Sus scrofa: one gene and its partner. The protein of the gene in region 1 interacts with the protein of each later gene in a pairwise test. Links are inferred from orthologs where the notes say so. Each region holds a gene or a part of one and is shown on either strand. Other genes may lie near its edges.

Region 1 (3,651 bases):
AACCACTGCGCCATGACGGGAACTCCTCAATTGTTAGCTTTGAAGGCATTGTAGAAATGGCCCAGGGCATAGAATAGCGGCCTAAAATAGGATCCATTCACCTTTGTATTGACAGAAAGTCTCTGGCCTATAAGTGACATCTGCCTCAAAAAAAAAAAATCAAGGCTAAATCAAGCTGGCGATAAACAAAAGGTAATTTACTGGGCCATACAACTTAAAAATCCAAGGTTAAAACTTTCTGTAAACTTAGCCAGATCCATACTTCTAAACAATGTGATCAGATTTCTGCTCCTCTCTTTTCCCAGCACTTTGTTCTGTTTTTCTCTTTATTGGCCCCATTCTTGGCCAGACTTTGCCCACATGGTGGCAGCAAGGTTGCCACCATGTGGGCAAAATCTCAGGCTTTGAGGATTCTTATTGGGCTGAATTGAGTTGTATGCTAAAGGCAAGGGATAGTCTGGCTCCACTGGATCCTGGGGGAGAGGCTGGCCTTGGCTAAATCACATGGACTTGGGGTGTAGGGGCTGGGCATCCTCCAAGGAAAACAGAGGAAGGAGAATGGATGCAGAGAGGGAAAAAACATGGACTGGCAACCTAAGACAAGATGTGCAAGAGTACATCTCTGTACTCTGTTTCTTTAGCTGAAAAGTGATGATACTGATAATGATGGTACTGATTTCTCAGGATTGGCCCAAAGAATAAATAAATGAATAGAAGTGGAAAACACCACAAATCTAAGCATGCAATTGCCACCCAATAAATTTAACCAAATCTGTACTAGACTTCCCTGTTGGATCAAAGACTCATAGAGCCAGAGGGGACCCTGGAGATCAGCTAGTTCAAACCCTACCCCCATCCCTCTATTCTCTAGATTCAGAGGAAGCAGTGAGTGAGTTTGGGTTGAGTAGCTTGCTCCAGGTCATGCTGTTTAATAGATAGCTGATCTAAGTCTCAGACCTAGGATTTTGGATGTCAGTACCAGTGTCCTGGCATATGTTTTTCTTCCACAGTCTGATACCTTTCTGCATGACAGTCTTTTTTTCTTAAAGTAAAAGCAGTATATACTATTTATGGCCTTATTGAGTGTCAGGCACCATGCTATTTTCCATATGTAATTTTACTCAGTCTTCATTACAGTGTTATTAGGTGGGTAATATTATTACCCCTGTTTCCAGTCAAGGAAGCTGAGGGCAACATTTCAGTGTAAGTGGTGGGAGAGAGAATTCATTCTGGGCAGTCTGATTTCAGAGCTGGTGTTCTTGAACCTCAATCCACGCTGCCTCTAGTAGACCGAGTTCAAGTTCCTTGAGGAAGTAGACTAAAATTCATAAAGACTTTTATAATATTGCCTACAGTATTGGCACTTATTAATTTCTGGTAGGTAGACTGTGTGCTTAAAAAAAATAAGACAGAATTTTGTAAGGGTTCCTATAGGAATAGCATACCCTGGATTTTCTCAATCAGAAAATATTTTCTCTTTTATAGACTTAGGAACAGAATGAACTTCATATTTTGATAGCTTTTCTTTTTTTCTTTTTTTTTTTTTTTTAGAAATTTGAGATACAATTCCAGGTAGTGAAGAATGGAAGACCAGGAGTATTAGGATATGGGTGGAAGTGTGTGTCAGTGGGGAAGAGGATGGGAGGCAGGAATGCTGGGACACATTGGGAATTCATTCTTGGTAGTAACTTTTTTTTAAGCTCCATTTCTTTCATATTAGTCTATTACCACTTAGAAATAAGAGGTTATAGCACATTAGCCCCTTGCCTCATTGGAATTGTGTTTGTTAGTTTTTATAGATGTCATCGTATTTGTATTATGTAAAAATACTTCTCTAAAGTTATGATTAGGAGTTCCTGTTGTGGCACAGTGCTTAACGAACCTGACTAGTATCCATAAGGACACAGGTTCAATCCCTAGCCTTGCTCAGTGGGTTAAGGATCCGGCGCTGCCGTGAGCTGCAATGTAGATCACAGATGCAGCCCAGATCCGCTGTGGCTGTGGTGTAGGTCAGCAGCTACAGCTCTGATTCAGCCCCTAGCCTGGGAACCTCCTATGTTGTGGGTGCAGCCCTGAAGAGACAAAAAGACAAGAAAAAAATAAAGTTTTGATTATGGATGGGTAAGTAGAAAATTCAGAAATTTTACCCCTCACCCCCAAATTTGTCTTGAGTACTAGCTATCAAACACTTATTTGTTTCTTACAGTCATGACAGTATTTCAGGCTGCCCCGATATATCTCCATGTGCCAGCTGATGATCTAGAAAGGAGACCTCATTCGATTCCCTGGCCATAGATAACTGCATTCCTGACCAGCTGAAATGAAAGCACAACTGAGACTTCTTTCTCTTGGTCCACAGGACTGTCACTGCAAGCAAAACAACATGCAGAAAAAGCCAAAGAAATACTCACCAACTTCATCATGCCTGCCTACAGTGACAATACAGATGTTTTCAAGTGTTCGGTTGAGCTGTTCCATACCATGGGGAGAGCCTTACTCTCCCTTCAAAAGTATCCTTTTGCCTCTCAGCACTAATTTTCAAGGTGAAATCGAAAGGTGACAGGTGACCCAGGAAGGGTGGTGGGGAGTATGAGAGCCAAGAGTGTCCTGGAACCGAGGCCCCAGAAGGTAGCACCAAGTGTCAAGTTTCCTGAACACAACTCAGATTTAAGGAAGCTTCAGAAAATTTGACAAAAGCTGAAAGGATTTCGAAAGAGCTGCTGCAGTGTGGAAGGATTATAAAGGAAGAATGGATGGAAATTCAAGCGCGGATCAAATTGTCATTTGCACAGTGAGTTTCCAGTTTAGGACTTTTTGTATATGTGATGCCTGGGAGTTCCTTGCCAGAAGAATCTGTCTTCAGGCAGGAGGAGCTTCACCATGCTGTGTCCATGGACTCTCCATGGCCATTGTCCAGGAGTATGAAAGGGAGGACGATGGTCATGTCAGAGCTGCCATAAGTAAGACACATGTGTCAGTGGCACTGCTCCATAAACATGTAGAGCTCTCATATCCACCCAGTCCTAGAGTTCTCATGTCGTTTGCTTAACTTTCTGCTTCTTGCCTGAGCTCCTTGCCTCTCCTCCTACTTCCGTTCCCTTCCCTCCCCCCCACTCCCACTCTATTCTGAAATATTTCAATACACTAATCTTAAGATTAGGGCCTCAAAGGAGAAAGATCCTAAAGGTATCTGAATCCATGAGGATGAGAGGATTGTTCCTTGTTTTTCCTACCCCCACCCCACACTCACCAGGTAAACTCAGATGGAAGAGATACCATGCTTGGAGCCTGGGGAGAGGGGGGTGGGCCTCAAGTGTCATCACATTTATCCTTCCCCAGAGGTCCCCCCGCCCAAGCCAATTCCCCACAGCAGTGGAGTGACAGAGTCTGTGCACACTCTTAGGAAGGGTGTGTTTGTGGGAGGAAGAGGGCAGAGAAAAGTCTATTCTAGGAAACACAAAGAATCCCCAGCAGACCAGCATGGCGTCCCTTAACCAAAGCTGGAAGAATTGAGTGTAACTTAAGAATCAGACTGCATGCATGGATTGATTCCCAAGAGAACTTGGGGACCCACTAAAGTCATTTTCAGAAGAAAAGGGCCCTGAGAGGATGCACCCAGGGCTTCCATGTGAATAGAGACTGGGGAGGACT
Region 2 (3,751 bases), on another chromosome or scaffold:
GCAGAAATAGCTGCTCCCTGTCAGGCCTGTTTGGCCACCCTATACTGAGAGGCATTCTTGATCACCCAGCCTAATGCCCCTCCTCTAGTTCTTCCAGTTACTTTGTAAGCACCTTCTCTCCATTACATCTTTTTCTGCTTAAAATACTTGAATTGGTTTCTATTTCCTACAACTGAGTATAACCTGGTAAGAACATCCATCTCAAATCAACAGCTAGACACTACAGGTGTTCCTGTTCAAGTTAGGAATAAGACACAGAAGTTAGTTATTAAAAGCATTATTTAACATCAATTTGGAAGTGCTATTTCATTATTAGTCAGTACAATGAAGTGAGTATTGCAAAGAAGATGGCAAAATTGTCATTATGTACAATAAGGTGATATGATTGTCTACCAGGGAAATTTGAATGAATAAGCTAAAAATAAAAACTATCAAGGAAGTTCAGTGGGTGAATCAGTTAAGAATTTAACAAAAAAAATCAACAGCTTTCCTATGTAGCAATGATAACCATTTAGAAAATATAAAAGAAGAAATAATCTAGTCTAGTAGCAAAAAATGCATAAAGTAACTGGGAAAAATAAATTAATAAATTTAATGCAACTTCCACGAAAATTCCAGCTTATTTTTGAACTTGGAAAATGTTATAAAGTTATCTGGAAGAATTAATGTTCAAATATAGATGAAAAATTCTGAGAAAGTATGAAATTCTGGGAGTATGTCTTATCTGCAACTTTGGGATGATTCTGCAAAAAAGAAAAATTGTTTTTACCAACCTTTACATACAGATAAAGCACATTTGACAAAAGGACAATTGTTGAACTGTTAAGTCTGAGTATTGGGTAGTAGTGTTCAATTAGAGTATATACTGCAATATTCTTTTACATACATATTCACATATTGTATATTTGGAAATTTTTAAAATAAAAACTTGGAAAAATTAAATTATATATGAAAGACTTATTTACCTCTCTTTTCTTCCAGTATTCTGTGTTTGAAAAAAATCACATGTTATAACGAAAGGAGAAAAGAATAATTTTCAAGAAGAATCTGATCATCAGGATAATTTTAAATTCATAAATTTGGTGTATCTAAAAGATCATTTCGAATGACAGTGGTTTTACTGCAGATGGAAGCTAGAATACAGGGACTGAGACTTGAGGGCCCAGAGGAGTGGCCACTCCTTAGATAAATCCTAGGTTTGTTGTTATTTTTGCCTCTGTTACTATGACATCACTGGAAATCTGGAGTTACTCCTACTCTCGACCTCACAGAACTCTCGCGATACCAGGCCCTGGTGGAGCGGGAAATGTGGTGGGAGGGGCCGGGCCGAGATCGACCGACTTCCGGCCAGGCCGTTGTCTGGGTGGCGCGGTCGAGTCATCGTTGGGCCTCGCCGCTCCGATCTCCCGTCCCTCCCCCCCCGCCGCAGCGCGGGGGGTCGACCAGCCAAGTGGGGGCGGGAGGTGACTCCGACCTTCCCCTTCACTTCGTTCTGGCCTGCACCCCGGCAACCTGCTCTGGGTCCTTGGGACCCGCGAGGCCCGGTCTGAGGGGCCGGGGCCTACGTGGGCCCGCTGCCGGGCCCCATGAGGCATAGCCTGACCAAACTGCTGGCGGCCTCGGGCAGCGACTCCCCAACCCGCAGCGAGAGCCCGGCGCCGGCCGCGACCTTCTCGCTGCCCCCGGACCTGAGCCGGGCGGCGGCGGAGGACGAGGGGACGGCGGCGGCCGGATCTCCTGGCCGCAAACAGCCTCGCGGAAACGAGGGCGAGTCGGAGGCCGGGAGGGGGGGCCGCGGCGGCGTGGCCGTGCGCGCGCCCTCGCCCGAGGAGATGGAGGAGGAGGCGGTCGCCAGCGTCCCCGGGGACGAAACGGAGGACATGGACTTTCTGTCCGGGCTGGAACTGGCGGATCTGCTGGACCCCCGGCAGCCAGACTGGCACCTGGAGCCCGGGCTCAGCTCGCCCGGGCCTCTCTCCTCGTCCGGCGGAGGCTCGGAGAGCGGTGGCCTGTGGCGAGGGGACGACGACGACGAGGCCGCGGCCGCTGAGATGCAGCGCTTTTCTGACCTGCTGCAGAGGCTGCTAAACGGCATCGGCGGCTGCAGCAGCGGCAGTGACACTGGCGGCGGCGAAAAGAGGCGGAGAAAGTCCCCCGGAGGCGGCGGCGGCAGCAGCGGCGGCAACGACAACAACCAGGCGGCGACAAAGAGTCCCCGGAAGGCGGCGGCGGCGGCCGCTCGTCTGAATCGGCTGAAGAAGAAGGAGTACGTGATGGGGCTGGAGAGCCGAGTCCGGGGTCTGGCAGCCGAGAACCAGGAGCTGCGGGCCGAGAATCGGGAGCTGGGCAAGCGCGTCCAAGCACTGCAGGAGGAGAGTCGCTACCTACGGGCCGTCTTAGCCAACGAGACCGGACTGGCTCGCTTGCTGAGCCGGCTGAGCGGCGTGGGACTGCGGCTGACCACCTCGCTCTTCAGAGACTCGCCCGCCGGGGACCATGACTACGCGCTGCCGGTGGGAAAGCAGCAGCAGGACCTGCTGGAAGAGGACGACTCAGCCGGAGGAGTGTGTCTTCATGTGGACAAGGATAAGGTGTCGGTGGAGTTCTGCTCAGCGTGCGCCCGGAAGGCGTCGTCTTCTCTTAAAATGTAGGGTCAAGTAATCTGCTCTTTATCCGCGTTTACCCCTTTCAACTCCCTTACACCATGTAAAACACCTTAGTGGGACATCTTCACTGGACACATTTCAGAGGAGGAAAAAAAAAAAAAAGTAATATTGAATCTTTAAGTGTTTAGCTAAAAGCATGAATGTGACACTGTAACCAACTCCTAATGATAACATGTGACTATTAAATCTCTCTGACAGTTTCTTTTTTAGGTGATTTCCTTCCTGCCAGGCTCCGTTGTAGGGGTTACAGAACAGTCGTTCCCGCCTCACAACCTGGTAAGGATCCATCTCTTCACGTAACGCTCATGCTCTGCTGCTTAGTCTACTTTAATGGGCAACATCTCAATTCGTGTGTGTGTGTGTGATTTTTTTTTTTTTTCTTTTTTGGAAGGTGGGAGGGGAATCTAATTTGGGCCCTGTCCACCCTGGAAACAGACTTGTGCTGGTCAGTAATGTATTCAAGATGCTTCTTCTGGTTGAAATAGCTGTTAATGTGTCCCCTTGTTCAGACTTGCGTGTACCTAGCTCTTCTGTCCCCAGTGTGGACATGGCCTTGGATGACATCGGTTCCAACTGTACACTGAAAGCTGCTAATAGAGATACAGTTTGGAGACAGTGACACAGGTGAAGTTGAATGGAAGTTCCGAGTTGTACAAGGTGCAAATTGGAATTCCAATTTTAGAGCAACTTTTCAGAGGTTGACAATAAGTACTTGGGGCATGCACAAATGTGATAGTTATTTTGCCGGAGATAACAGAAATCTCTTGAATAATCAAGAATGCCTTTTAGTTTTCTTAGGTCTAGACATACAGTCTATTCAGATTATAGGTTTTTATATCACCATTAGAGAAATTGGAAATTAATGTGCACATCAGACTCCTGTGTTGGTTAATTGAAGGGGGAATAAGCATGGTCAATGGAATGTCTCTTTGAGGACCAGCACAGTGATTATCCTATCACTGAGTATGAATAAATTGTTGAACACCTTTATTTTTGTTGTACTAAAATTTTAGGTTAAATTTATGTATGATTAGCTATTGACGGTTATGAAATGTGAATGAAAACGTGTAAAGTGAGGTTTCACA

The links.
Region 2: the proteins of TTC23 (region 1) and CREBZF interact in binary tests that used the Homo sapiens proteins (3 or more experiments, as listed by UniProt). The two-hybrid records come from large-scale screens. The link is inferred for Sus scrofa from reciprocal best matches to the Homo sapiens genes TTC23 and CREBZF.

What each region holds. Positions count from the first base shown.
Region 1 is NC_010443.5:137,966,175-137,969,825, reverse strand, and holds part of TTC23 (tetratricopeptide repeat protein 23), read left to right. Parts: intron 1-2,359; coding exon 2,360-2,510; intron 2,511-2,665; coding exon 2,666-2,791; intron 2,792-3,651. UniProt on the Homo sapiens protein: Participates positively in the ciliary Hedgehog (Hh) signaling.
Region 2 is NC_010451.4:19,592,637-19,596,387, reverse strand, and holds the start of CREBZF (CREB/ATF bZIP transcription factor), read left to right. Parts: upstream 1-1,273; 5' UTR 1,274-1,586; coding exon 1,587-2,647; coding exon of another isoform or gene 2,648-2,651; exon of another isoform or gene 2,652-2,864; coding exon 2,865-2,880; 3' UTR 2,881-2,942; intron 2,943-3,751.